Linked DNA regions of Saccharomyces cerevisiae S288C. Changing the gene in region 3 together with the main gene of any one other region gives a genetic interaction. Each region holds a gene or a part of one and is shown on either strand. Other genes may lie near its edges. The genes, in order: FKS1, CYK3, BNI4 and SPA2.

Region 1 (9,417 bases), on a different chromosome or scaffold from region 3:
TTTGGAAAGGATGACATTGCATCAATTACAGATTTGTACCTTTCAAAAATATGTACATCCCAAGATGGATTTTCTCTATTTATTGAAATATCAGGCTCTGAAAGATCTAATAGGACGTACATTCCTTCGGCAGATAGAGCTTCCATACATATATCATGTGATTTTGTCGGATCTATTGCATAAACACGCAGTGTGTTCACTCCTAGCATTTTCAAAAATGGAATATCTCTTAAGCATATTTTTGGGTCCGCTAAGGCATCAATATAACTTGTCTCAAAAGCCCCATTTGCATTGCTAAGCTCCTCTTCACTTCTCTGCAATTGGTAAGCAATGCCCTTGATGAAGAACTGTTCCCCACTCTCAGAGTCAAAGAATTTGTTTCCTACAATTTTAATAGCAGGGGTTTTTTCAAAGCTGACACCTGAAGAGCCATGAGACAATTGCAAACAAAGAAAAATAGCCACAATAATGGCTGCGTAAAAATTTTGTTTCTTGTTCATACTTAACTGAAAAGTTTCAAGTACCTCGAGTTAACGAATAGTAACGGATGTAGGTTGTTGAATGTTGTCTTTGTCTGACAATCTTCTCGTTGGGGCTCGCAACTATCTAGCTAAATTAATTCATTTACAATCAGAGTGACACAAATTTTTTCAGAATTACTGACACCGAAAGCTGCTCCGTTTTTTATAAATAGAGGCCGATACTGGTGAAAAAAACTAGACAAAAGACTGTTTATAATCACATAACTGTACAAAAAAACCCTTATTGGCATAAACACATTCATATACCTATAATATAAAACTAAATTAAAAAGACGCTTCCAAAAATAAGTAAAAAAGCATCAACATTAAAACAATCTAAACCAAAAACATCGAACGGTATTTGCAACATCTTGAGAGTTTCTGGTCTACTTGCTTTTGGATAGAATATCAGTAAAATCAAGCGTTCAAGCAAGTATTGATTGTATTATTTTATAGTTGACCAGGTCTTTAATGATGGCGTATGAGTATAGTAGTGACTTTGATAAGTTGACATTTGGGAACCAGTGTCATTATTGGTTGTATTTATTGGTTGGAATAGATTGTGAACAACGCCATCCAATGAATCTCCAATGTGTTTGTGGATCTTAGCAGAGGCTACAGCAGGACCAATAATGCATCCTGCAAAAATAGCCAATACTAAAAAGTACAAAGAGCAGTACTTCTTGACCATACGCTTACGCAAACGAGTTTGCTTCAGAGAGTAAATTGGGGGACGAATTTGACGAGAGGGCTTTAGCCAGAATAGCATAATCGAGTGGAATTTATCTATTTTTGGGATTATAATGAGTGGCAGTTGACAGATTAAAATCACATGACCTAGAACAAAATCAGCTGCAAATTCTGAAAGCTCAATTACCTTGGCGGTTAATTCTCTACTTGGCTGGGTCCAAGCCATGTAACCCATACCTTTACCATACCACTTACCAGTCCAGAAGGCTGTATTGGCATGATCGTTTTTAAATTCACGAGTCAACATTAACGCTGTCATGCAATGAAAAATGAGTCTTTGACATTGGATACAAGTAACGACTCCGATTAACATTCTAACAAAGTTGAAGCTCTCCAAAACCCACATGACAATGAAAAAGGCAATGTGGACAATAACAGCAACACCGTGGGCAATTCCAGCCATTACAGAACCTGTCTTCTTACAACACATACCAAATAAGGGACCAGAGCAGCATGACATACCCATACAGAAGAATAGAACACCGAGGTTAACGGCGATTGGCGCCAAGGTACAAATGATGATACGTAAAACAGAATTCACCCTATCATCATCAGTAGTCTTGACACCGGTTTGAGCATTAATAAACGTGAAGGCAATAAAACAACCAGCTGCATAAATTGCACAGGGTATGATTTCAGCCATGATCAAATTGGTTCTATGAGCCCTGCTTGCGTCACCAGCAGCTTTCTCAGATTCATCGCCAACCAGTTTACGTTTAAACCCAGTAATACGTGCCCTAGACATCCTCACGTAACCAATCCACGAGTTTCTATGATATTGATTATTACCTCTTGATAACCATCTGATATAATCCCTGTAATCCAAAAAGAAATCTTCCCAAGCAAACTGATGTGGATTGAAAACGAAAGGCGCAAAAATTAATGAAGATAGAGAGGCCCAAAACCACAGTAGTGGAGCTTGCCAATGTGCGACAGTACCGAACAGCAACATTAACATTGATCTTGCACCCATGTAGATAGCAGATCCTGCAAATCTTGAATACAAAATTGAAAATGGTATACGAGAAGTTGCAAAACCACGACCGGTGGATATATAACGAGCACCACCAATTGCTAAATCACTTAATAACGCAGAAGAGTAGATTTGGCCCGCAAACACTTCGAACATAGGGGATAATGATAATAGGTGGCAGAAAAATCTTTGGGTGGCTTTCCATAGACCACGTTCAATTAGTTCTTGAACAACAATAGGAACGAAGGCAATCCAGAAAACAATGAAAATAGACAATGTATAACGTCTCACCCAATCAACCGCAGGTTGGAAGTTGTAACACCCAATTGGAACCAAAACATCTGTTTTTGGTTTGTTCCTATCGTAAATACACATAATAGATTCATGGGCCAAGGAAGATAAATTCACCAAAGTCAACATAAACATTTGCAAAGATAATTGAATGAACAAGTTGTTCAAATGGAAACCAGGATGGGCATAATAGAATGTTAGGAAACGGTCCACTGGTAATTGGGTACCCAGATAATAATATTCACGAGATAACATTTGTTCACCCATACCAGCACCAATCTTAGTAGTGAAATTTAGAATTGTACCGAAACCCAAATCTCTACCTTTACCACATTGATAATACTCACAATGCTTGATACGACCACCACGAAGCATAGCATTCATACCAGCATAAATATCTTCGTTTAAATGCAAACCCTTTTGTGCTTTGGAAACACCACCTCTAGTGGTCATAAACGTAGCATTAATGAAATCCGGATGACCATAATGCAATTTACCACCAATTTGAGATAAAGTACGCGCAAATAATGTACCAAAAGTTTGTTCTTTACCAGCGGCCACATCACCCAGCACACCAGAGTTTTCAGAGAAAATGTATTCTCTGGCACCAACAATAGCAACAGGATGATTAGTTGTTTGCTCCTCATACCTTAAACCGGGAGCATATGGATTAACTTGTTCAACGTTCAATTCCTCAAATTCAGCCAATACAGATCTAATCTTCAGACATTCTTCCAAGTAGTTATCTTGGTTGGCATCAATTAATTGAATGTATTCACCTCTGTAAAAAATCAAAGCATGGTTTTGGTTATCAGATTTACCGTCACCAAGAATTGGGTTACCAGATAATTGAACTCTAAACTTGGGACGTCTACGACCATTATCTAGAATTTCACAATGTCCATCAATCAAAGCGGAATAGATTCTTGGCTCCTCACCTTCAGTCAAAGGTGGCTCTTCATCCAAGTAGGCAATTTGTAAGTCTGGGTAAGCTCTCAACAAAAACTCAGCATTTTCCAGTTCATGTGGTTTGAATTTAGCCAATCTCTGCATAGAGACCAAAAATTTAAACTTTCTTCTTGCCATCTTTTCTAGCTCTCTTTCTAAGCCTTCAGCATTACCACCAAACATTTGAACAATTTCAGGATTTTCCACACGATACAGTAATTTGATAGCTCTTGAATAATTCATGAACCCTGAAATGGTACGATATAGAGTCTGCGACCTCAAAGAAGCCCAAATTCTCGTACGAAGTGTATATTCTGGAGCAGCAGATTTAAAACCAATACAATAAAATGGCAAATCATCGATTTGAGATTTCAAAGCATCTTCCTTTTCAGCTTCATTTTCATTTCCTTCATAGGCAGCGGTTTCTTCAGCCAAAATCTTAGTATCCTTAACAAAACATTCCCATTCAACGGGATGTAATTGTTTTAGATATTCTAAAAGAGTAACTCTAGAAAATTGGTCATCTTCACGAATAATTTCTCTTAATGACAGCAGAATTCTTTCCGCGTAGTGAGGAGTCAATACTGTGAACGTTGGCATGTTATCAACTGGAAGTGGTTCGGGAATTGGAGTAGACAAAGATTGAGCAAAGAAAGAAATACGACGCTCAGCCTCTGAATCCCTAGGGAAAAATTCAGTCTCAAAATTATTGTCATCTTGAGAAACAAAGAAGGTAGGAGCTCTCAAAGTTCTTTTACCTTCGATTTCAGATGGAACTTGATGATATAGTAATTTTTGTACATGGTCGATGGCTAAGAGATGTTCTCTGTACATTGAAATAATGATGGCATTCCATACTTGAGAAATCAAAACCTTTGGTTTGTATTTAATTTCCATATCAGTAGTAGCCAAAATCTTGGAGTATATTCTTTTTGGCAATCTTGTGAAGATATTTCTCCATGGTGTTAAGATAGAAATACCTAAATAGAAAGATTTCCCAACAGAGAAAATGGTATTCACAATAATGTACCATAAGTAGGTATCCAAGAAGAAAAGAATGAAGTCGGTAGCGATAACCAAACCTAAGACAATCTTGGGTTGCACTTTACAAAGTACCGCACCCCACCAGTATTCACCTGTACACCTCATTGCAGTGGTGGACAAAATTCTAATTGGATCTCTCAAAGATAAAACTAAAAAGTAGTACGATTCTGAATATTTGGCAGCAAAAACAGTAACCCAAACTAAATAGGACATCCATCTATCTAACCCATGTAGAGGGGCAAATGCAGCAGTGAATGTTTGAGATGCAACATAACGCCTTGTAGATTTTTTCATATATGACGTAAACAACCCCCCCAATGGCATAATGGAGAAGAATATGATGGTAGCAACCGCAACAAAGAACATAACAGCAGCAACAACGTGTGCAGCAGTGGAGTAGACTGTATCTTTGTCGTAAGCAAAAACAAAAATAATAGGACCCAAATTAATACCAAAGATGATGCATAAAAACCAGAATCTACGAGATAGATGTTGAGCACCAGCCCATTTTCTTGGAACGAATGACCATTCACACAAAGTAGCGACAATTTGAATCAAACTTGCGACAGTACCACCTAATGCGCAAGATGCCCACTTGTAAGCAGCCAAAGGTTGGTTGTCGACCAATTGTTGATAGTTATGAGTGTAAAATGTTGGTGAATTATATGCAAAGTACATCCAAAAAATGGAGATATGCATAACCCAAATACGGTTGAAGTTGGTGACCAAATGTAACCAAGTACGGGTCTCTTTATATGTTTTGAAGAATACATCATCCCAGACGACATCGCCTAATCTTAAATAACGTTCTTCCAATGGGAGTTCTATCAATTTTGTTCCATCTTCAAGAACAATCTTTGCAATACCTTCTGGATACCAGAACAATTGGTTTAAATCATCATAACCGACAATTTTGTTATGATCTCTTTCACGCTTGACAAAACGACCATCAACAATTTCATAAACTTGATTTCTGATGAAATGATAAATTGGCGTAATGACTCTATTCAAGAAATCACCTTCTGGCATAGGTTCTTGGCGTTGTTGGCAAAGAGGGGAATCCAAGTAGTCAAGAGCACACTTGTAGATAAAACATAAACATTCAGCAGTGAATCTGACTTGATTAGCTTCACCCCAACATAACAGATATAAGGCGATATGACGAACTCTTTCCAGGGGAGACAACTGGTTCATCTTGGCCTTCCATCTAAAATCAGCAGCCTCTAGGGAGTTGTCGCCTTCAATTTTGTTTAAAGTTTCTTCAGTGTCTTCGGGATTGGCCTCTTCCATTGCTTTCTTGTTTTTCTTCTTAGCTTTTCTTGCCTTCCTTGAGAGTTTTCCAAGACTCATATTTCTAAAACCAATTTCATCATCCATATCTAACTGAGCAGCAAAATACCATTTTTTATAGTTAGCAGTATCGCCACCAATGTAGTCGGCATGTAAAGATAGTAAAGCTTGATCAGGAGACATTCTCGAGGACCTAGAGTCCAAGAGAACCATAAAATGATCAAACATATTTCTCATGGAGTCTCTTTGGAACCCGAGTCTGTTGGTCAAATCAATAAAGATATCTTCGATTTGCTCGATCGAAACGGGAGATTGAGAGTCAGCAGTCCAAGCGGGATAAGGTTCATTTGGCAAAGCCATAGCGATAGCATTTGGGTCATAATTACCGTAAATTGGAGTCGAGGTACCCGACGAATTTGGTTCTCCATAACTCATTTGAGAAGCGGTATACTGACCACCATAGCTATCATATCCAGGTGTTCCAGGAGGGCCGTAACTGCTAAAATCCGAGAAGTTTTCACCGTCTTGAGCAGCCATATTTGGCGGTTGACCATAGTATTCACCGTTTGTGTAGTCTTGGTCGTAAGACTCGTTTGGTGGTTGTTGACCATACATATCAGCTTCAGTACCAGCAGCGACATTTGGATCGTAGTAACCATCAGCTTGTGAAGGATACAAAGGCTGGCCATATTGGTCATAGTCTTGTTCCTGACTTTGCCCGTTACCTGGTCCCTGGGTATAGTCCGTTTGGCCCTGATAAGGTTGTTGATCAGTGTTCATGGTCTGACCGTTGTATGAAAGACTTGATTTCAGCTACTTGCTTATTTTAATTTTTTTGAGCGAACGTAAGAGAGGTTAATGTCCTCTAACTATCAGTCCAATGACAGTATTTTCTCCTTCTCACAAACTACAATAAATATCTACCAATCTCTTTTCGAATAAGGACTAATGATATACGCTAGTTCCTGTTTGGTAAATGAAGGCTAGTGTTCGAGAATGGAGAACTTCGTAGTCGGTTAAAACAGCTGTAGTGTTCTGGCCTTCTTAGAAAGAATAAATAGTTCAGGAGTAAAATCAAAATATCTTTTAATATAAACTAAGACAAAGAAAGAAACAAGAATTTTGATCTGAAAAAATCGAAAAAAAGGAACGAATGGATCGATGAAAATTTTCGAGACTAGGTTATAATTATTTCTTTTTTTAGATTTGTGCGCGTAAAAAACGGAACCAGAAGAAGCCAAAAAAAAAAGAAATTCTTCCTGTGCTTCATCAAAACGCGAAAATTCGTCGCCCAGTAAGTGAGACTATTTCCTATAATAGAAATCCAAGTGGCAAAAGCGTTAGACGCAGTACAAGGACGCGTTAAGAAAAATTTCGAGAGAGTCGCCGATAGTAGGATTAGAGTTTCATAACGCGTTACACGGAAGGAGAGCAGTAAGGAGGGCCCGATACAGAAAAAAAAATGGCGCTTGTTACAGATTCTGATTGCCCGTACATGACATGGTCTTTCTTTTCTTTTTCGTTAATATTTCTGCTTTTTCATGTGTGTCGAAAATAGTTAGCTCGATAAGATACTGTGATAGGCAAAAAGAAAGTTTGTCCTTCCGCATCGGTGCTGTCCCTCCTTAGCTGAGGGTTCGGTGTACCTGTGCTTTTTCGGAACCAGTTCTTGGCCCGCTAAAAATCGCTACGTCCATCCCTTTGTCTTAGTCAAGCACGAAGGAATTCGAAGTTTATCGTAATTTTGCTTTGTTCTGGTCCCTTGGTTTTCTCTTTTTGCATAAATCTGGCAGTATCGTAAAATGTGATTTGCACAAACCAATGCACAGAGGAGAGTTGAAGTACAGATAGAATGCGTTTACGACATTACTTAGGCCTTTCCAGGGCGCGAAAAGACAAAATATGGATTGCCCTTGCTAATTGTGTAGATGTTTGCATGCCGCGGTTTTATCGCTGCGTCACATATGGGATTTTGATTGATTCAAAGCCTTGATATTATCAATAAATGGTTCAATCACATCCCATTTATTGAATTGGAGGCCTTCTTCGTCCTCTTCTGTACTTGAAGTGATTGATTCAGATTCTGCGTTTGAGGACTCTCTTTGTTGGCTTTGCTTCATATCTTGAACAGTTCCGTTGCACCAAGCGCTCAAGAGTTGTTGCCGTTTTCCTTCATTGTTCTTTAACCAGAGTTGAATAATTTCATCAATTCCCAAAAATAACTGCGGAATCTGGTGCTCAAAGACAATTTTTATGAGAATTTCAATAAATGACAAAAATACTTCATCGGAAAATTTTTCTAAAAAATTGACAGAATACATGAACTTAACGATCAAGATAAAGCATTTTTGAATCTCTAAAACAATCGTTGAAAATACTCTACTGAAAAGAACGTAGTTGATAATAGTGTTTCTATTGTGGCATTGATCTTGTTCTTTTAGCTCGATTCCGAATTTGAAAGTTTCCAAAATAGAATTGGAAAAATGCTTCAAACGGCACATTATGTCCACTATATTTGTGGAGGGATACTGACCCTTTAGCTTGCAAATTATGTACTTGTCATTGTAGCATTTCAAATCTGCATCAAACATTTGTAATAAGTTTATGTTCTTTATCAACGTTTCGACCCAAATATCGTGCACAATGAACTCAATTGTGTTAATGAAAGTAGATTTTTCGAAAGCCTCATCAGAAGAGTCGGCCAAGAGTTCAATGTCTTCAAAAAAGTTTAATAACACCACGCAGTTCGGAAGTATTAGTTCTACCAAATTTTCTTCGGGATTATCTTTGCTTACTCGAAAGTCATAGAGCGTATTGAATAGTTTTTTGTTTATTTCATTTAGAGTCAACGAACATTTTTCAAGGGTGGCACCAGATAATAACTCAGCATAAGGGACATTATCGTCAAAACTAAATTCTATCACGTCTTCATCTGCAGTATTTAGCATAAAAGTTGCTGAGTTTGAACGAAGACTATCAATGTTTCCATTTTTTTTTGAAAATTTTGACTCCGCTATATGGTTACAGTCAATACTCTGGGTATATTTACCACTCGAAGCTGGGTCATTACTGTTGTTAATTTGGTAGTTTAAATTAGAAGAATTATCATCTTGAATTCTATCCCACTTTCCTTCTTTCTCATCGATCCTTATCGGAACTGCGTCAGTTCCAAACTGGCTTCTGATAGTTTCTGCATTACCGCGATGGAGCTGTTCGCTTTTATGGTGCCCTGAATTGTTTTTTGATGTGAATAAAGAATCATCTAATGGAAAAAAACCTATACTACTCTTTTTTTTTGAAGGTACATTATCTTTTACGGTATATTCGTATTCCAAAGGAAGAAAGAAGCTATTTTGTACGTTAAAATTTGAATTATCTCCCCTTCGAAACATATTCTACTTCTATTGATCTCTTAAGGAACATAGAAATACTGCAAGATAGGTTTTTTTTTTTATGGGAGCTTCTGCTCACCTCTCATCGAAGCAGTAGTTTCGTCTTTTACTTTTCTTCATTATTTCCTCGCAGCTATTTTTGATTTTGTGACATTTCTTATATCCGACGTCTTGAAAGAATCAAGCGATAGTAGAGAAAAAGACAACT
Region 2 (6,732 bases), on a different chromosome or scaffold from region 3:
CACACAGGATCATACAAATTGAAATATTGTCGGAAAGTTTAGCTTCTTCTAATGCTTCATCAATCGCACCGGCCAAAATTAGTTCGTAAATGTATTTGAAGAAAATATGATCTTCTTCTTTATCTTTAACATCGAGGACATTAGTGTTTTCTCGTAAAGGAAAATCCAAGTCACAGCTTTTCAATCCTCCAGAAGTAATACTATTTAACCATTTTGAAGTTGGTACATTTTTGGGTCTTTCCATCACATATGTATTTTCTTTGAGCCAAACCATCACTATCCATATTTGATAAAGTTGTTTGTTGTCTTGCATTAATTTCTTTTCAAATAAACCCCTCGAGTTATAAGGATGAAGTTCCATTTCATCTAGATCAAGATCAGCGTTCCTGAAAACCAGTAACAGTTCTACTAAATGCCAAAATCTAGCTTCCAGTTCCCAATCCTTAGAAGATATGACGTTACTTTCATCTCCAGAATTAGCCAAATCTAACGCAAGCTGCCCCGCGGCTGAGCGAAACTCTCTTATGATGTTAAACGGGTCAATGGGGTTTTGCTCATTATTTTGTTCAATTTTGAATTCCTTTAAAGTGTCTGAGAACTTTGTGAAGCGTTCTGTTTGATAAGTAGGGGATAATTCCATTTGAAATGGCTATGTATTTTACTTCGAAGTAGCACTCAATTGGTTTTCAGGTTGAATTAGCTGATATACCTCGTTTTCGGACTTGCCTAAACAATTCAAATGTCGTATGTATTTGAGCATTTGGTCTAATTTTTCATATTTTCTTCACCGAAAACATCACTAAATACGAAAAAGTTGGACCAGCATAGCTTTTATGAATGCAATGGATAAATCATTAAATAATAAGTACTATATAGCCATATATGAGTTATGAAATTCACCTTCCTGAGTAGAATGTATGTTGAATGATACAGATTATAGCGCTGTAAAAAAATTTGTGAAAAACGTTTATACGCACAACCATTCAGCAAAAACGGACCACCCAATACCAGAGTCAGCGATCACTAAAGCGCTCCAGACGCCGGGCTCTTTGATTTTAATGCTTCCTTTCCAGGTACCATAAGGAAAGTGGGGATCGCTCTTGACTAGCTCATGAACTCTTCCTGAGGGTGATTTTATTGCCATTGGTTGTTTCCTATTTTGGTTCGGCCCTTCATCACTGCTGTATACAATACCATCGGAGGGACTTTGAATAACTTCGAATGAGTACTCATTACCAACAAATAGATATCTACTCTGTGGCTCGACAATGTATAGCTCAATCTTCTGAATGCTTTCTGAGGGTATCTTGATCACAAATTCGTATTTCATGTTACTTCCCTTATGTGTTAATGGGACCATCATGGACAGTGGATGGATATTGGCAATACTCGTTTGCGTACCTCTTACACCTGAATGTATGTACAGTGAACCTTTGTTCACATTGGGTGGTAGGACTGCTTTGATTAGAGCAATTCTTCTACCAGACTCGGCTTTCTGCTTTTTGATTTGGGTCAGTGCGAGTTCCATATTCCTGTACGCAGATGAAGCTTCTTCATTATCCGTTGGAATAACCACGGATGCAAAGACTTCAACGTCATTGGGAATTTCTAAGGAGCATTCGTAGATCTCAGAATCTTCCAAAAATGATAGTGCAGTACTAAATTTGTATAACTTTAACTCATTTTTGAAAAAAGATGGAAAAACTAATGGCAGATACAATGCAGATAATTGATCGATACTAGGAACAATATGCTGCTCAAATTCCCTAGGCGGTATATGTGTGTATATCATTTCTAATGGTGCCATCAAAAAGTAGCTATTTTCTGCTTTCTTGATCTTTCTGTTATTTACAAATTCATGAATTGGGTTGGTTACATTTCCTAAAATAACGTCAATAAATCTCCATTCTTTGTTAACCAGTATTCTCAACCAGCAGTGGTTATACTTAAACTCCCAATTTATAGCACTCGGTGTTTTCAGGAAACCTATAACAATTTCACAAGTGATTCCCAATGAGTTTGCTAATTTCTTGAAAAGCCATGTCAATTCATATGGCGTACAATGCTTTCTGTATAGTATTTTCTCTAAATTTTGGGGTTCCGCAGAAAAATCTGACGTTCCATTATCATCAGTCAGAGCAAACATCTCTGTGCAAAAAATGTATATGCCTCTTAACTTTTCCAGAACAGTTGAGTATCTTGCTGAAAAAGTTGTTTGAGCCCAACTGTCTAATGTCATAGTTCCGTCTCTAATACACCGTTTCCAAGTCATCTTATCAATGTATTCTATGTTTAATTCGGCCAGTTCCACATCGACCAAACCGGGCTTTGTATTACCTTTGACTTCATTGGTATTTAGCCCGTTATAAATCGAATCTTGAGGATGTAAGATCAAGTCGCGATTTTCTTCGAGAGCTCTCATATACCTCGGATGTTTGTCATATTTGGTAAGAGTCCTTGCTCTGTTCAAGTGACATTTTACCGCAATCCAATCGCGAGCTTCATCGGGTGTTGCAGACAAGTTTAAATTCTGAATATCTGGTAGTTTAGGATATGCTTTTGGTGACTTTGGTGAGGATACTGAACTGGAGTAAATATTTGTATTCCTCTTTGGAATAATTATTTTCCTAAGGATATCACCCATTTTTCCATTTCTCGAACTAGCATTGGAATCACCAAACTCCTGTGAATCATTTATCTTTGTAGAGCAGCCATTTGCATTCTGTGATCTTTGCAATGAATCGGAAAACGATTGTGCATATTTATGTCTGGCGAAACTTCCCGCGCTCGTGGCACTAAAATCACTCATTAAGGCAAAACTGTTCTCACTACTACAAGCAGAATCATTTAAGTACTGAGAGTTTGAAAACAGGCCTGATGAAATAGAGTCCTCTTCTAAAGAATATCTCTTTTCTGGGATAAACCCATCATAGAATTTCTGGTTGTCTTTGTAATAGTTATATTCTCTTGAAGAACGTGCCATATGTAAATCGTTTGCAGAATATGATTTCTTTGGTGCCCTTTTATCTGTCTTTCTCATATTGTCCAAATCTGGTAGTGGCGGTAGAGGTGGTAACGGATTGTTCATGGACTCCTCGAAATTTCGTACTTGAGGCTTACTATGGCTAGCCAAAGGTAAATTTGGAGCTGAGTTATTATGATGTCGAGAGGATTGGGTATTATAGATATTTTTTTCATTTACCATTTCTTTTGATTTTGCCTTTCTAGCCTTTGTCAAAGAATCTACCGGCTTCTTGGGTGAATTGGGCATTGATGAAGATAGCTTCTTTTTAGGCCTTGGCCTCTCGTCAGAATACCTTGATGGTACTGGTGGAATAACAACTTTATTTGATTTTTCAAAACTTTCTACTATTTTTGAAGGTTGCCTACCATTTTCAGTGCTCGAATTTAATCTCTCCTCTAATAGTATGACGAAGTTATGAGGAAAATACCCAGAACATTTTTTGTTTCTCAATAACTTGCCGTAGAACCAAGAACCGGCAATCCTTGTGACTTCCATAATATCTCCCTCCAGAAAGCCTAAGTCGCCTTTAGTTTGGCCCGACCAACCATACCTGGCCTTCACCTTAAATGGTGGCTTCAAAGATGTTAAGTTAGTGGCCATTATGCAAATTTAAATGTAATACGGTAAATTCAGGAATTAAATGTTATAATTATAACTTCGGGACTGACCTTTAATGTTTCGAACTAAAATTATATGCGGTAATTAATACGGATAAAAAGATATTATTAAAAAAAGTGGTAAAAGCAATGTATGCTTATAGCAAACAGTTAATGTGTTAAAATATTAAGGACGAAGTGAAATCAGAAGAAAGAAAAATTAGTTTAACAGCAGTAGATCAAACTGATATTATAGATATGTTATGCAAACAGAGTCCCGTTAATTTTGGCCTTTTCTCTTGTTTTAACTGTATAATATCCAATTGTAGAGAGTAAATGAAACTAAATTCTCCTTTTTCAATACTTATTTTAAATAGTTGGTCCAAGCATGCAAGATATCAAGCTTGATCTCACCATCCTTTTCAGATCAGCTCAATGGCCACCAAACCAGCCATTCGAGAATTTTTCACTTCTATCGCGCCCTGACAGGCACCACCATTAATACATATTTAGAAAAAGAAAACCCTGCAATATTCAACTAGTTACGAAATTCACCAGTCTCAAGAACAAGAGGGTACGCTGAATGGATACAAACACTAAAGGATGGTGTTTCATCAGCGAGACAATGATTTTGTAATTTCTTGCTTTTTGGGTTTTGCTGAATCTCCAACGCTTGTGGTGACTGTTTCCTTTTGAATATCTATCAGTATCTTAAATGTTAAATATGTGTCTGCGTTATTGACCTATTTCTCTTGCTATATTTAGAAGTTGTGTTTGTTTCAAATGACTTAGATTTGAGTGAACGCAAAATTGAGCTTGAAAATCTCCAAGTCAACGGTGTAGTAGTATATTGCTTCCACATTAAATTCTCACGAGGGGGTGATTGAAGTAAAAGGATAAGCTTATACCAAAAGAAAAGCAAATAGCACAGCGGGAACAACTAGAAGGTACACAATTTGTGAAGCAGCATACATGACTGAGCAAGCAACTAAGCCAAGAAATTCATCGCATTTGATCGGGGGCTTTTTCGGTGGGCTAACATCTGCTGTTGCGTTGCAACCTTTAGACCTTTTGAAGACGAGAATCCAGCAAGACAAGAAAGCTACATTATGGAAAAATTTGAAAGAGATAGACAGCCCTCTACAGCTATGGAGAGGTACATTACCTTCAGCATTACGAACATCAATAGGCAGCGCCTTATATTTATCATGTTTGAACCTTATGCGCTCATCTTTGGCAAAGAGGAGGAATGCTGTGCCTTCATTAACAAACGATTCAAACATTGTATATAACAAGAGCAGTAGCTTACCACGATTAACGATGTATGAAAATTTACTAACAGGTGCATTTGCAAGAGGTTTGGTAGGTTATATAACCATGCCTATCACCGTCATTAAAGTCCGTTATGAGTCTACTCTGTACAATTACTCCAGTTTAAAGGAGGCAATTACCCATATATATACTAAGGAAGGACTTTTTGGATTTTTCAGAGGGTTTGGAGCTACTTGTTTAAGAGACGCTCCCTATGCAGGTTTGTATGTGCTGCTATATGAAAAATCGAAACAATTACTGCCCATGGTATTACCTTCTAGGTTTATACATTACAATCCTGAGGGAGGATTTACTACTTATACCTCTACAACAGTAAATACAACAAGCGCCGTACTATCCGCCAGTTTAGCCACCACAGTAACGGCACCGTTCGACACCATAAAAACGAGAATGCAATTGGAACCATCAAAATTTACCAACTCCTTCAATACATTTACATCTATAGTTAAAAATGAAAATGTGCTGAAGTTATTTAGCGGGTTAAGCATGAGGCTGGCAAGAAAGGCCTTCAGTGCAGGTATTGCGTGGGGTATATATGAGGAGTTGGTCAAAAGATTCATGTAAAAAATAGACACATATTTCATTGCAATCTCGCATTCTTCAAAAAAGGTATAAATACGTGTCTTTTTAGTTTCTTTATAGAGTGACGTTGAAGCTTAGTAGTACGTTCATACATACATACATACACACACGGTACAAAAGAAAAATCATATCAATAACAAGGAAGAGAGACTCTAACTATGAAATAGATTGGATGCGTTACAAGTGTTTAAATAAATATAAGAGAGTCGATGGATAAGTGCACTTATTGGCTTTTAGAAATGGCCTTCTCAACTTCTTCAGTAAGTATATCTGTTAGCTTTGTGCCATTTCTTAACGAAACCCACTCCCCATTGAGAAGGTCAAATCTGTTAGGCCCGGACAATGGTGATGCCAACCAAATTTGCTTATTTGGAGGCTGTTTGTTTATTACATACGTTCCAAAAGCTGGAATTTCCAATGTCATTACGCCATGGCTTAGCTCTACATCAGGTATACAATCCGGATGAGCCTCACTCAGTTCTTCTAAGCTATCTAGTAAATGGTCTAGGTAGTCATCTGCCTCTTCATGGTATTTTTCAAGCGGTAAGTTTAACACTTCTTGAGGCACAACTTGACCATCTGTCGAGGATTCTACAAATCTCTTCTGAAAAGTATTTACAGTATGATTCTTTTTATTTGTTACAGCTGGACAAAATCTGGCACGTTCTCCTCCTGCCGCTGCTATCATATATCTTCTGCCCATTACAGAGCTGACTCGAACTAAACTTGCGAGAGACCGCTTAATCATTGCTACACTCTATCTTCTCGCTTAGTTTTTTTTGAAATACTATCTTTCTGGTATTCAGTAGTACGTAACGATTTGTAAGTGTCTTCAAGCGAGGTTGCTTTCAATTAAAAATGCGATTCAAAGAGATCATTTACGGTTACTAATCCCTCATATCCTATAGGGCTATGTGGACATTGTAAGAAACGTGACTTTTCAAATATGATCACTGAATACGGTTTTTTGAAATTTGTCAAGTGCGATGAGTTGTATCTCTAAATCAAGCACCCATGATCTACGTTTAGTAAAAGAAAAGGACGAATTCCCTTAAAGTTCTCGGTGCCTAAGTCAATAAGTCCGGAGCATGAATCTATACGGTTATTTTTTACTTCTCATTATTGTGATTGCTTTCATTGCATTGTTGCCATTGTTTTCTGGCATCGGTACATTCAAACTAACAAAACCGAAATCGT
Region 3 (6,559 bases):
ACAGTGTCTGGAATTTCTTTCTTCTAGAATACCAAGGGTACGCATTTCTCTCCTACGGAATTTTCTGTGCAGATGTCCCGATCTACGTGGCAGATAGTGAAAACTCCGTAGGCAAAAGGGGCATCGGAAAAACCTCTTCAAAAAAAAAGGTTTTTAGGCTCGAACGAGCCGGAGCAATAATGTTCCTTTGAAAAATAGCAATCGTTATGCAACCATTTTATATGAGTCTGCCCCTCAAGGGACTCGCCACCGGACCGCTGCAGTTGTTTGCATTCATCCACATATAAGCTGGTTGTGTATGACAGGAGAAAAAATACTTCATTCGCAGTTGTTAACCAACAGCGACATGTCTAGCGGGAATGTCCACCATACGAAACCGATGATGTACAACGTAACCCTGCCTTCCTACAACAGCAGTAGTATAGGTCCAGTCGATAATTTGAAAATAAACGAGAGACCTGGCTCTCATGATCATTCCATGAGAAGTGAAATGTCATCCAAAAACTCCGGAAGCGATTTTATGCCACAATCTATTTCACGTTCCGAAGGTAGTGTCTACCAGGTCAAGATAGATCGTGGTGACTCCCCGAATACAGAAGGATTCGACTTTAAAGTTAATGCAAGAGATCTGCTGTTACTTCGAATGTCCTGGGATATCCTCCTCAGGGAGTATTTAACACCTAAAGAATTAAAAGTTTTTCAAGCACTTCTGTATTCCAATAAACATATTACTTCAACAGAAAGACCCTATTTGAATACTGCTCCTGACGGTATGATTTCCAAAACTATTGACCCTACTGCCAGGCCACGTAAAACAAAACAAAGGGACAATGATAACAAGGTTGATACTGCACTATTTTGTTCACAGTTTTATGACAATTTGATTGCAATGGATCCCTTGTTAGAAGAATATTTTCCATCATTAAAACATCAAGCAGTTTCGTTCTGTAAGGTCCTTGATTCTGCTATTGACAACCTTGAAAACGTTCATGTCCTAGATGATTATATTGTGAAATTAGGAAAACGCCATTCCAGAATTCTCGGCATCAAAACCGTTGGTTTCGAAGTAATGGGAAAAGCATTTATGACTACATTGCAGGACAGGTTTGGATCTTTTCTCACACTGGAACTCAAAAATCTATGGGGACAACTTTACTCATATTTGGCAAATTGTATGATTACTGCAGGGAAGGACCCAATGGAAAAGATTCAACCAGATTTTTCGTATAATGGTGACTCTGTGGTTTTAAATTTTTCCATTCCCAAACTTGCGATGCATGATATAAGTACAGTTAACAAGCTACAAATGGTGAAAACTAAAAACGCTACTATACCTCATAATATAACACAAGTACCGACAAATAAAATTCCTACAGAAATACTCTTAGACAATTCTTCTACTCCAATAAAAAGCGACCGTGAATCGACGCCTCCAATCTCACCAAAGGGCTCTGGAAGTACAAAACCAAGCATCGGTAGCAGTACCGTCGTGGAAAGTAATACCAAGAAAAATAATTATGATGAAAAAATCCATTTATTGCAAAAAACTGCTCAGCAGAAGAACTGCTCGATTATGTAACTACAACCGTACCATTAAGTGTATAAGTTTCCCAGGTTATATTATATATTCTTTAGATCACTGCCTGTTCTTTATTACCCGCGAGCTAATCTTTGTCTTATATAGGCGCGTCAGCGGAGACGCGTCAAGTCAACTTCTCTCTTCTATCGTCCCGAGTATGAAAAATCATTTCAGATTCGAAGAAATCAGATTGGCTTTATATCTTCTTTAGAACAAGACGTGTAATATTCTCACACTTAGAGTTGACCCCCTCAAGTTCGCTTATTAGTACAGGTTTTGACTTTGCAAATAAACAACAGGAAAAGCGACTCAAATAAATTGACAAAGAAATCTCAACAACCAGAGTGCAAAAGCCGTACGAGCAGCGTTTTTATTAATAACGATATATCACTACGTATTCAACAGAATATGTCGGATAGTATTTCAGATTCAAAGTCCTCAGAACTTTTAAATTCTACTTTTTATTCGTCGACGTCGATAAATACACTTGATCATGCTAGAACCTTTCGAAATTCTCTGATATTGAAGGAGATATCAGATCAAAGTCTAAATTCATCAATAAAGCCATGCGAATCCGTCCTTGATAGGGATGTTGAAAGCTCAGTTCTGCAGCGGTCGTTTGGAGAAAGTAATGCCCGAGACTCAGAAGTACAAACGGTAAATATGACAACTTCCCCCTCATTAAGTGCATTGGCTGATATTCTGAACGAAAGATCCAAATATGCTGACCAAAAAACTAGAAAGGCACAAAATATTGAGTCTTCCATAATAGAAGAAGAAGAAGAGGCCGAAGAGCAAAACAACTCGATCAATTATCACGAGGATATAACTGGATCCAGGCTGTCTGTACGAGAGGAAGCAAATGAAAACTTGGCGATGACCTCTCCAAACCTTATTGACATTGACGGATCCAATAGTATTCAAGTTGCCCCTTTGAGTTTACCGTCTTTCGAAGAACCTGACTTTTTGTCCACTCCTAGAGTAAAACCTGATTCTCAGGGACCTCGGAGCAAAGTTAGTACACGACGTACTATTCTCGAACGAGACAACAATTTACCAGTTAAGCGGGAGGAAAATACTATCATTAATTCAGAAACTGAAAGCACAACACATAGCGCACCATTTTTAAAAGAGGATCCGAAACCCTCGCCTCCTTCGAGTAAATTATACAACCCAAAAGTTCGTTTAAACAAAGCAGAAGCGCGAAAGTATACTGATTCTTCTGCCCAAAGGACTACTTCAGCAGGCTCGGTACTTGAAGACACTTCTATGCATAAAAAGAAAAAGAGTATATTTTCATTTCTGAAGAAGAAAGAACCGAAACCAGTTATTGGTAATAATAGTGTAACGAATGAAAAAAATAAGATGTCTTCATCGAGCACTTTCTCAATGAATATTCAAACCTCTTTAAAAACGCCTGAAAAACTAAAGAAGAAGTCTCACAGTAGCAGTAGCATTTTCAATTCCTTCCTAAAGGGAAAAATTGAAACATCAGACTCACCTCGAAAGGAACCAATGAGGCAAAAAAAAAGAACCCCAAAATCCAAGGACAAAAAGCAAGATACTGAACAAATAATTGACGCCGCATCAGTGTTATCCACTGAATCACCTCTACTACGAAAAAACCACGACGATACTCCCGTGAAAATAGATCACGTAACGAGATCAATTGATCAGAGAAAACCTACTCCTTTAAACATGGATCTCATATTGGGAGGTGATAAACAGATAAATACCCCGCTACAAGAACACGTAAGAGAAGATGATGATGCCAAAAATGATCTTCAATTACCAACCAAGGATAATTTTTTATCACTGGACTACGAAGCACCCTCACCAGCATTTTCCAAACACGATACAGGTGAGGTTCTTTTCCCAAAATTTTTGGATAATCATGAAGTCGACTCGATCGTTTCTTTAGAAAGAACAAGATCTACAAAGTCTAACAAGAGAAGTTCAATGAACTCGCAAAGAAGGTCATTGACAGATACGCTATCGATCAAAGCGCAAAGTGAGGGAATGTTCATCACTGAGGCATCTTCTGTTGTATTATCTACTCCAGACTTGACGAAGTCTCCTGCTAGCAGCATTTTAAAGAATGGAAGGTTCGAATACTCAGATAATTTCTCCAGAGAACACTCTTACGAAGGTACCACGAATGAGGACTTTTTAGATATCAAGGACGATAGTGGTCCACTAAAAAAAGATGACATATTTTTAGAGTCTATTGAACAAAAATTTGACCAGCTAGTGATGGCCTCTGATGAAGAAAAAACTGAAGTTGAAAGGGATGTACCAAAACCAAGAGAAGAACCTCTGAAGAAGGATTCTGAAAGGCAAAGCGTTTTTGCAGATGATGATAACGAGTTAATTTCTGATATAATGGAGTTTGCAAGTTTTATTAACTTCGGTGATGATGATCTCAATCTAGACCTAGACTTGGGAGATACAACGGCCTCATATGCAACAGAAACCCCTGAACCTGTTGGAAATGATGAAGTAAATCGCTCTGGTACTTTTGATACACGAAATAACAAAGAGGATAGTTACAAAGAAAGAGAAACTCAATCTTATTCCGCTGCTGGAGCTACTACATACGGAGATGAGCGTCAAGGTCAATTACATACATTTGAACAAGACGGAAGTGAAATAAATGACAACGAATTTGAGAATGAAGATTTCAACAAACACATAGAACAGCCCATAGAAGTTACTCCAAGAAATAATGCATATTTACCAGAATTCGAACCCAATAGACCTGTTTCAATGTCCTTTAAAGGACTAAAAGCCCCAAGAATGAATACTTCTTTTATTGACTCCATGACGCCTGATTCTCCCGTAAAATCAGACTTAACAAGTCTAGGTGAGGTGTATGTAAACAGTAATAATGACCAGGGTGTCCGGTTTTCGTCCCAGATAATACTTTACGACACTTATGGAGAATTCGAATATGATAGACATCCAGAAATTTCCACTTGTAACCAGCTTACTCCACAACTGGCTCAAATGATCAAATTGGAATTAAATGAGTTAAAGAGCGCAATGGAAGTACACGATGATTCGCGATGTTACACACATTTTTATTAGAGCAGAAAACTGGGAGAAATGGAAATGAATCAAATCATACATATCAAGACATTCTAGTTTTTATAAACCTATAATTTATCGCAAGAATCTTGGGTGTTATGTGTTGTATTTGCGGCATCATTTCAAAATACCGTCTGCATTACCCGTCTCCGTCACGTGAAGTAAAAATTTCCAAAAAATATTGAAAAAAGAAAGAAAAATAAGATCCAGAATTCACTGATGATGAGCTTATGGTACGGCATGATTAACTACGCATTTGTATATTAAAGATTCTTTGATTTTTTCCAGAGCATTGAATACCTCAATCTATAAGTGTATTATAATGGCATGCAATTTTCAGTTTCCAGAAATAGCTTATCCAGGTAAACTAATATGCCCACAGTACGGTACGGAAAATAAAGATGGCGAAGATATAATTTTCAATTATGTGCCCGGTCCCGGAACTAAACTAATTCAATATGAACACAACGGACGAACTTTAGAAGCTATAACTGCTACACTAGTTGGGACAGTGAGGTGTGAGGAAGAAAAAAAAACTGATCAGGAAGAAGAGCGTGAAGGCACTGATCAATCTACAGAGGAAGAAAAATCAGTAGATGCATCACCTAATGATGTCACAAGAAGAACTGTAAAAAATATTCTGGTTTCAGTGCTTCCTGGGACAGAAAAGGGTCGTAAAACCAACAAATATGCTAATAATGATTTTGCCAATAACCTACCGAAGGAAGGTGATATTGTGCTGACCAGGGTGACAAGGCTTTCGTTGCAACGAGCCAATGTCGAAATTTTAGCTGTGGAAGATAAACCATCTCCAATTGATAGTGGCATCGGCAGTAATGGATCGGGAATAGTCGCTGCTGGTGGCGGTTCTGGAGCAGCTACGTTCTCTGTTTCTCAAGCATCATCAGATTTAGGTGAGACATTCAGAGGTATAATCAGGTCTCAGGATGTACGGTCTACAGACAGAGATCGTGTGAAAGTGATAGAATGTTTCAAGCCGGGAGATATTGTTAGGGCGCAAGTTTTATCATTAGGTGACGGAACCAACTACTATTTGACCACTGCAAGGAATGACCTTGGGGTCGTGTTCGCCAGAGCTGCTAATGGTGCTGGTGGATTGATGTATGCTACAGACTGGCAAATGATGACTTCACCGGTTACAGGCGCTACAGAAAAGCGCAAATGTGCCAAACCTTTTTGATATGTAACAGCTTATCTACAGTGCATATAGACGCGTATATATTTAAAAGAGGGTATTCGCTTCTTCTTCTTTAGATTGCATTCTTTGATGGTTAGGAAAAAGAAGCGGGAACGTGATTAAACTTTTTATTCTCTTTTATTTATTATATATTATAGTGCATTATCATTATCTATCTAAATTTGCCTTTACACGGTACTGCTTTCCGATTTTACTGGGTAAAGAAGTTTTTCATGAGTACCTCTTAAATCAACCTCACTTAAACCTACAATACCACCGAAGCTTTGAAACCTCTTAAAATAATGATCTCTTTTTTCACGCGCGGTTTCCACCAGAGCTGGCCAATAAACATCATGATTGTACTTGAATTTCAGATCACCACCATACAACGAATCTAGTTCGTTCTTAGGGACATATTTAACAAATGGTTCATCAAAAACTAGCTTTTCACGGGTCAGTGGGTCAATAAAAGGGTGAATTAACTTCAAGAAAGTCCATGCTAACCAAGGAATATTCGTCAAAAGTGCTTTTCCTAGTCTTTCTGGATAATGAGTTTGTAGAATATGCAGCACTTCTTTCCCTACACCAATAGGTGGGATTTTACTATTGCCAGGTACTTTAGGAACATCAGGGTAATCTTTAAAGTCTATTAGCAAAGCTAGAGAGTCTTGACCAGCTGGCATAAAATCGATAAC
Region 4 (8,368 bases), on a different chromosome or scaffold from region 3:
TCTATACGGCAGGTCCATTTACGATTTTATGTGCTCCAACGGCATTGCCAGGTTCCCCGGCTCTCATATTCAGGCCATTGCCAGACAGCTAATCAGATCTGTCTGCTTCTTGCACGATTTGGGCATAATACACACGGATTTGAAACCAGAAAATATCCTGATTTGTGACGAAACCCATATTGCTCAAAAATTGCCTTTGAAAACCGTACAGTCGCTAAGCAAGAGACGCCGTGAAGCCAGTAAGGGGAAGCGCAAAATCTTGAAAAATCCAGAAATCAAAATCATTGATTTCGGTAGCGCAATTTTCCATTACGAATATCATCCTCCTGTAATATCCACTCGTCACTATAGAGCCCCGGAAATTGTCCTTGGCTTGGGCTGGTCGTTCCCCTGCGACATTTGGTCCATCGCGTGTGTCCTAGTAGAACTGGTTATTGGCGAATCTCTTTACCCCATTCATGAAAATCTAGAACATATGGCTATGATGCAACGAATCAATGGAACCCCTTTCCCCACAGACATTATTGATAAGATGTTTTACAAATCTAAACATAAATTGGGCAACTCTCCATCAGACCTAAATTCAACGGTGATAAAGCATTTCGACAGAAAAACTTTAAGCTTACAATGGCCTGAAAAAAATAAACGCGGAGATACCATAACCACCGAAAAGTCAATGAAAAGGGTCTTGCAGTCATGTGATCGCTTAGATATTTACATCTCAAAGGTCTTGAAACAGGATTACGGCGATAGCTTAAGCATCAATTGGAATCTACCGCCGGAGAAAAACTGGTCTTTGATAAATTCGAAATTGGCATGGAAAAGACAAACACATTCCTCTTCTTCCTCAACTACTGATGAACTCGATAAGGAAACTTTCTTGTTTTGGTACTGGTTCATCGATCTACTCAGGAAAATGTTTGAGTTCGACCCAACAAAAAGGATTACCGCAAAGGACGCTCTGGACCATGAATGGTTTAATCTGGGCATACTGGATGATGGTATTGCAACTTATAATAATACCCAAGGATAGTGGGTGTTCTCGTTCTACTTTTCTCTTCTTTTTTTCACATCTTTTACTAGTTCCGTTTTTTTTTTTTTTAACTCTTCTTTTTCATTTTCCGGTTTTTAATAATATTTCTTTAAATTTCTATATTCAATAAAAATTCTTCCTACATATATATCTTCATATTCAAACATTTATAGTATTTTTACTAATTTTTTGTTGTTTTAATATACTATAATAATATTATTATTACTGCTACTACTATTATTATTATTATTATAATTATTATTATTATATGTCATACATAATACATTCTATTGATTGTCTTTGTCTTCCTTTTCTTTCTCCTCTAGATACTACTAACTTTACTTCAACTTCGAATTCAAATAATTTATTTCGTCCTTCAAACTTGCCTCTTCTACAGTTTTTACCAGCTCCTTTGTACATTTGGCAACATCAAACGCAATCCCTGCCAACCGCTGTTTGAAGTTTTTGTCAGCATAATCTTGATCGCTCTTTTCCTTCGCTAGTATTCCATCGCCAGTTAATTGGCACAAAATTGTCATTCTACGCGAACAGTCTCTTAGACTTTGCACCACCCAATCACCGTGTTTCTTCAAATTGGCATTTCTGCTTTGCTCCATTGATATGCTAGTAGCGTCCACCATTTGACCTATGACTTGGTTGATTGCATTCGATTCTCCCCTCAAATTACCCTTCGTCACCTGTGGTTTCTTGATCGATGTCAAAAGCGATTGAATCGTGGATATGACGTCCATTGTTTGATGTTCTAAATACAATAGTAACTCTGATAGTGTATTATCCGGATTTTCAATGTCAAATGTATCCACATCAAAATCACTGTCTTCTTCCTCTTCATCGTCATCTTCACTTTCCTCTTCCTCACTTCTGTTTTGTTCTTGTTCTTGTTCTTCATGTTTCATGGGAACAAATTGATAGCTAGAATCATCATCATCACTATAATGTTTCTCGTCATGTGCCGTAGTTTCTCCAGTATTTTTTATCTTTATGTGGTTGTTAATGCCGCCGTTCGACTCTGAGTTCTCGTATTGAACCGGTTTACTGTTTAAAAATGGTGAGTGGCTCGTCTTTTTTACCTGTGAATTTTCAGTTGGATTTACGAAAGCATGCTTTCTTTCAGTGATGTGTATTTGGGCATCAGCTCTTTTTCCATTAACATTATTTGATTCATCAATATCTTCCTCGGAAGTATGCACTTCTGCTTCGCTTTTTGCTTTACGATCAACAGGTATTTTATGATAATCAATTTTTCCAGTTTTCGTATATGCACCAGTGATCTGGATATTGTGGTTCACTCTATCAAAATCTTCGTCCTCCTCCTCTCGTTTGATCGTACGGTTTAAGTCGGCGTCTCTCCAAGAAGTATTGGCATCCTTGTTTGTTGGTTCCACAGAAGTGATAGTCTCAGTATGTGGTTTATTAGTTTCTCGTAACTCGACATTTTTCTTTATCGGTGCTAGAGGTGAATTTTTTGCCAATTCAGGAGAAACAATTTGGCTATTCGGTTCTGGGAGCCCGCTCTTTTTCAGTGTAGCTGAAGATGGAGTCTTTTCGACTGATTTTGGTGATCCAGTTCTATTAACAGCCTTTGGAAAGACAATCTTTTTTAGTACTTTTGGGGGGTCAACATTCTCTATCGGCTCTGAGGAGGCAATGTCTCTCCTTATTTCTTGAGGTTCAGACACAGTATTTCCCTTTAAATTTGGGGATTCCATTTTCACTGTCATGTTTGAGGGGATAGTATTGCCTACTGCCTCCAAGGACTCGCTTTCCCTTACCATTCTTGGAGATTCAATTTTGTCAACTTCTCCTGATGACGCCAACTTCCTAGCCGCTTCCGGGGACTTGATTGATTCTTGAGCTGTAATTTTTCCTGTCATACCCAAAGACTTAATCTGCTCTTTCATGCCCGGAGATTCGACCCTACTATCTGCTTCTGGGCCTACAACTTTTCCTGCCATATTCAAAGATTTAATCTGTCCTGTCATGCCCGGAGATTCGACCCTACTATCTGATTCTGGGCCTACAGCCTTTCCTGTCATACCCAAAGACTTGACCTTCTGCGTCATATCCGGAGATTCGACATTACCAAGTGGTTCTTGAAAATTTTTCTTCCTGACTGATTCTACAGATGCGCCCTTCTCTGGCATTTCTGAAGGCTCAACATCCTCTACTAATCTCTTAGGCAGCGAACTACTTGGCATTTCTGAAGACATTTCAGATGACGTGATTTCCTTTATCGATTCAGGAGATTCAATCTTCACGGACTCCGGTGACTCATGTAAATCAAGTTCCACTATATTTGCAGGTAGTTTGCTGTCATTATTTTTTTCAATTTTTGAACCTTCTCTCTTCATTGTTTGTTTCAATGCCATATAGGTAAAATCATCATCATCGTCTGCATCGTCATTTTCGTTACCATCAGAGCTTGAATCATCTGTGGACACATCATTCATTGAAGTGATAAATTTATTGGATAGTTTTGGTTTTGAATCCATTTCTTCTTTTGCTATAGGATTTTCCTTTGGTGATGATTTCTTTTCGGAACTTTGCTCAAATTGTTTCAGTTTATCAGCAATGCTAGAAGTTGGTTTAACAGAGATTTCATTTGTTATGTCACTCCTTTTATTATCCTCTTCTGTATTCTCGATTTTAATATTGGGAACTTGATTCTCTGACGGTGGAATAACAGTACCGATTTTGGCTTGTGGAGGTAGTGTTAGTTTAGGAATTTCGGAAATATTGCTACTTGCAGAATTGGAGGCCGATGTTACTGCCTTTATGGGCGAGACATATTTATCATTATCCTCTTTATGGGAGCTATTCTTAGCAATTGATGAATCAATCATTAAACTAAATAGCCCCGTTCCTGAAGGTTTTCTTGAGGTTGTTGGAACTCCATTAGACGATGACGGTCTTATGATCGGACTGTTAATTGCCTTTTGTGTAATTTTCAATGGCTTGACTGGAGATTCTTCTTCCTCCACATCATTCAAGAAAGATGCTGGTTTTCTTGGGTTTATAAACCCCTTCTTCATATTTATTCCAGAAGTCGAGGGGAAAGTTGGCGTCATTGGGGTGGTAGCAGTTGGTGAAGAATATTCTAATACCTGTCGGTTACCTTCATTAGAGGTGGTGCTCTCACCATTTGAATCGGATTTTATTTTCGCTGAATCAATTAGATTACACATGGCAAAACAAACCTCTGAAACAGCAGCTTGCACAGTTATTTTCGGAATTAATACGGGACCGTAAACAGAGAAATATCTTATCGATGTGATCGCATGCGATAATGATGCCTTCAGTAAAATGACCTGATCTTTGTACTGTAATAGGTCGGCCGATAGTAATAGCTGGGAGATTAGGTTCGATAACTGGGATAATATTTGAAATAACTCTTCGCCAATTTGATGGGAAATTGCCGTGGAGTCGCCTATGGGTACTGCGGAAAGCCTAGTAGTAAATTGAATTATCAAGTTGTTAGCGTTTAAGATGTATTGAGCTGGAATGAGCCCATCGGCAGAAGAGTACTTGCTAATAAAACCGTCAGTGATTTTCAAATCATTATGGTTGTCATTCTTTTTTTGATGCAGTTCGAATTCTGAAATTTTCTGCTTCAAATTTTCATTCTCAATTGATAATTCACCGATTTGAGAGTTTAATGACAGCAATTCTTTCTGAAAACTTTCATCAATGGTGTAGTTAATCTTTAAGTTCTTTTCCTTTTCTTTTTCCTCCTTCTCTTCCTTCTTCTCCTTTTCCTTCTCGCTGGTTAAAGATGCTAACTTAGCATTCAAATCTTCAATTTGCAAATGTAAGTCGCTGTTTAAATCAGTCAGTTCTTTAACCTTGTCTTCCATCTCTGAGTTAGGGTTATTGTTCTCAGCCCGTTGTACTTCAGGGCTCTTCAACTGTTCGGGACCCTTTTCGTTATCGATATCTTTATCTACCTTGATAATTGGAGAATCATTAACGTCCCAGTAATTTTTATGCGTCGTTGTTGGAGTCCTTGCCATTGATGTGATATCACGAGCGAGCACTTGGGAGTCAGGCAGATCAGAATCTGTAACTATGGGGTTTAGAGCAGGTTTAGCCTCTTTCTTTTCATCCATGCTTGTTTGTTTTCCCTCCGGTTCATTTGGCTTCTCCTTTACTTGCTCCTCTTCTTCTTCCTCAGAAGACCAATCGATAGATGCCATCTTAGGAATGACCAAAGAAGGTTGTACGGAGACGTTTGGAGCTACTTGAGTCACAGAGGAAGAATTTGTGGATGTTCTTGCAGTATCATCGCTGTCTTTGCTGACCTCTTGTTTCATCGGCTGCGGTAATGGGGGCCGTGGAGCATCCAAATCCTTGTCGAACCCTCTTCTCTTGATCTCAAAAAGGATATCGTCCAACAAATCATTAAATCGAGTTTGTGATAGATTGGCCAGTTTCTGTCTAGCCTGGTTCCTTTTCATGTGGAAATTTGCCTTCGGCAAAAGGTAATCTGGTTGGTTAGCATCTTCACCGATTCTCCTCTGCAGCTCATCGGACACGTCTGTACTCAGCTCGTAAAATTGCGAAGAAGATAGCTTCAACAGCTTGGCTCTGGCCTTTTGAGCTCGTGTCGAATTTGACCTGTCACGATTTTCGCCAGTCACCTCGAAAAAAGTCTTCAGTGAGACGTAGTAATGGAAGATATCTCTATGATGTGCGAGAGAAACCTCGCTTGACGTACCCATGTTTACTCTTTCTTTTCTTTTGTTTATTCTGTTTCGGTGGCTCGTATTGCGTTATTCCTCACGCCTTGATTTGAATCTTCGTCTCACGTGGTTTCTCAGCGTCTTTCACACGCTTCTGACCAAATTTATCTTACCGAACTATACGTAGCTATGTGTTGCTTTCTGCTGAAAGAACTCGATAATAGAATATTATTCTCAAAATACTTCAAAGTTTATTCTCATCGTTTCCAAAAACGCGTCACGCATCACCCGGCGCAGTATTTCTTCTTCCTTTTCCGCCATAAAAAGTCATAATAATAAGCCTATCTCAAGATTCTTATACTACTTTTAACAGTTTTATTGATAACTTACTTACGTTAGACCATCTTTTTTGTGCAAACCTTTGGTAAAAAAAAAGAACTGCGCTACCTTCTCCTAGTTTATGTATGGTACGGCAACTCATAGTTAGTTTTCTGTGCCCGTTTTAAGCACGACTTGAACTTACGTGATTATATGTATACAGTGCATGTTTTTATATAGAAAAATAAAAAAATGGGGTTACGTAGTCGAAGGATATAGCAGTGTCTAAAAACTTGCAAGAGCACTCGTAGCTCCCCGGCAGTGGAATCTTACCACTTCTCAGAGAATGTCGGAACGATATGTTACTGCACTGAAGTTTCGCGTTTTTTCCAATTTTGTATTATTTCATTCTACTCAATTTTGAGGTAACATCGGCGATGAGGTCTCCTTCTAGAAGTAACAGAATATGAAACTAAGGGCAGAAGACGTGTTGGCAAACGGAACTAGCAGACATAAAGTTCAAATTGATATGGAAAGACAGGTTCAAATTGCAAAAGATTTACTCGCACAGAAAAAGTTCTTAGAAGCTGCTAAACGCTGCCAACAAACTTTGGACTCTCTCCCAAAAGATGGTTTGTTGCCTGATCCTGAACTGTTTACTATATTCGCACAAGCTGTATACAACATGGAAGTACAGAATTCTGGTAATCTGTTTGGGGACGCTCTTCTGGCAGGTGACGATGGATCTGGGTCTGAGTCTGAGTCTGAGCCTGAGTCTGATGTGAGCAATGGAGAAGAGGGGAACGAGAACGGTCAAACAGAAATTCCTAATTCTAGGATGTTCCAATTCGACCAAGAAGAGGAAGACTTGACTGGTGATGTCGACAGTGGTGATAGTGAGGACAGTGGCGAAGGTAGCGAAGAAGAGGAAGAAAACGTGGAGAAAGAGGAAGAACGCTTAGCTTTGCACGAATTGGCTAACTTCAGTCCAGCGAATGAACATGACGATGAAATTGAAGACGTATCGCAACTTCGCAAGTCTGGTTTCCACATTTACTTTGAAAATGATCTGTATGAGAATGCTTTGGACCTACTGGCGCAGGCCTTGATGCTGTTGGGCCGCCCTACAGCAGATGGCCAATCTCTAACCGAGAACAGCAGATTGCGCATCGGTGATGTGTATATCCTGATGGGTGACATCGAAAGGGAGGCGGAGATGTTCAGTAGAGCCATTCATCATTACTTGAAGGCGCTTGGCTATTACAAGACCTTGAAACCCGCAGAACAAGTAACTGAGAAGGTGATACAAGCAGAATTTTTGGTGTGTGATGCTTTAAGGTGGGTTGATCAGGTGCCGGCTAAGGACAAACTAAAAAGATTCAAGCATGCCAAGGCTCTGCTTGAAAAACACATGACTACAAGACCCAAGGACAGCGAGTTACAGCAGGCAAGGCTCGCACAGATTCAAGACGATATTGATGAGGTGCAAGAAAATCAGCAGCACGGCTCCAAGAGGCCTCTTTCGCAGCCCACGACCTCCATCGGCTTCCCCGCCCTCGAAAAGCCCCTTGGTGACTTCAATGATCTCTCTCAACTGGTCAAGAAGAAGCCTAGAAGGCATTGATAGTTTTGTGTAAAATGTAGCAACCTACATACGTAATGTATATTTCTCCTTCTTTGGTACGGCGAAAGGGCCCCATTTTAAAAGGGTGAAAAAATATTTAAAGAGCAAGCAGACCATCCCTGAAATGACATACTTACTACATCTAAAAAAAGTCATTTTTCTCTATTCATAAGGAGCAAGAAACACTAGCCAAGAATAGTCAGTATAATGTCATCAAGACCCGCTAATAACCAAGGCCCCCCAAACCTCCCTGCCAGAGATAAGTCGCTCGTGCAAAGGTTCATGGCAGTAGCCAAGAGCTTGCAGTTTGCATGGTTTACCGGTCATTCCGTCGTATTGATCAGCTCCATTCTTTACCTGCTCAAGATGTCAGAATTTTATTACAGATCGGCATATCTCGGTGTCATCGAATCTTTCGGTATCATCATTTACCAGCAATTTTTCACCCGCAATGAACCATTGCAGACTCAAGATGCCGCTGCCACTAAGGCTTCCATAAAATCACGCGTTGCTGGACTCCTAAAGAGTGAAGACGTGCTTTATTTGGTTTTGGCCAACTTCTGGTTGTTCACTCCAAGATTTTCATTCAGCTTAATCCCATTTTTCGCGTTTGCTGTATTCCATGTTTTAATCTACGTTGAAAAAGTTCTCTTACCAAAAGTCTTCCACCTTTCCAGTAAAGATTCAAGTAAG

What was found.
Region 1: mutations in BNI4 (region 3) and FKS1 are lethal when combined (synthetic lethality), as found in Saccharomyces cerevisiae (5 studies listed by BioGRID, with this or other methods).
Region 2: mutations in BNI4 (region 3) and CYK3 together harm fitness more than expected from each alone (negative genetic interaction), as found in Saccharomyces cerevisiae (4 studies listed by BioGRID, with this or other methods).
Region 4: mutations in BNI4 (region 3) and SPA2 together harm fitness more than expected from each alone (negative genetic interaction), as found in Saccharomyces cerevisiae (5 studies listed by BioGRID, with this or other methods).

What each region holds. Positions count from the first base shown.
Region 1 is NC_001144.5:807,177-816,593, reverse strand, and holds FKS1 (1,3-beta-D-glucan synthase), read right to left. Parts: upstream 6,598-9,417; coding exon 967-6,597; downstream 1-966. Other genes in the region: GAS2 (1,3-beta-glucanosyltransferase), read right to left, coding at 1-500; YLR342W-A (uncharacterized protein), read right to left, coding at 611-784; SPO77 (Spo77p), read right to left, coding at 7,776-9,209. UniProt on the Saccharomyces cerevisiae protein: Alternate catalytic subunit of the 1,3-beta-glucan synthase (GS) complex. Synthesizes 1,3-beta-glucan, a major structural component of the yeast cell wall. Involved in cell wall synthesis, maintenance and remodeling.
Region 2 is NC_001136.10:245,474-252,205, reverse strand, and holds CYK3 (Cyk3p), read right to left. Parts: upstream 3,626-6,732; coding exon 968-3,625; downstream 1-967. Other genes in the region: NUP84 (Nup84p), read right to left, coding at 1-640; HEM25 (Hem25p), read left to right, coding at 4,594-5,517; YFH1 (ferroxidase), read right to left, coding at 5,759-6,283; EXP1 (Exp1p), read left to right, coding at 6,624-6,732. UniProt on the Saccharomyces cerevisiae protein: Involved in cytokinesis by recruiting INN1 to the bud neck. Cooperates with INN1 to stimulate the synthesis of the primary septum (PS) by CHS2.
Region 3 is NC_001146.8:209,935-216,493, forward strand, and holds BNI4 (Bni4p), read left to right. Parts: upstream 1-1,987; coding exon 1,988-4,666; downstream 4,667-6,559. Other genes in the region: YNL234W (uncharacterized protein), read left to right, coding at 299-1,579; exosome non-catalytic core subunit CSL4, read left to right, coding at 4,989-5,867; PDR16 (phosphatidylinositol transporter), read right to left, coding at 6,053-6,559.
Region 4 is NC_001144.5:98,351-106,718, reverse strand, and holds SPA2 (Spa2p), read right to left. Parts: upstream 5,773-8,368; coding exon 1,372-5,772; downstream 1-1,371. Other genes in the region: serine/threonine protein kinase KNS1, read left to right, coding at 1-1,033; HIF1 (Hif1p), read left to right, coding at 6,518-7,675; nucleoporin POM33, read left to right, coding at 7,883-8,368. UniProt on the Saccharomyces cerevisiae protein: Involved in pheromone-induced morphogenesis and efficient mating, perhaps as a cytoskeletal protein.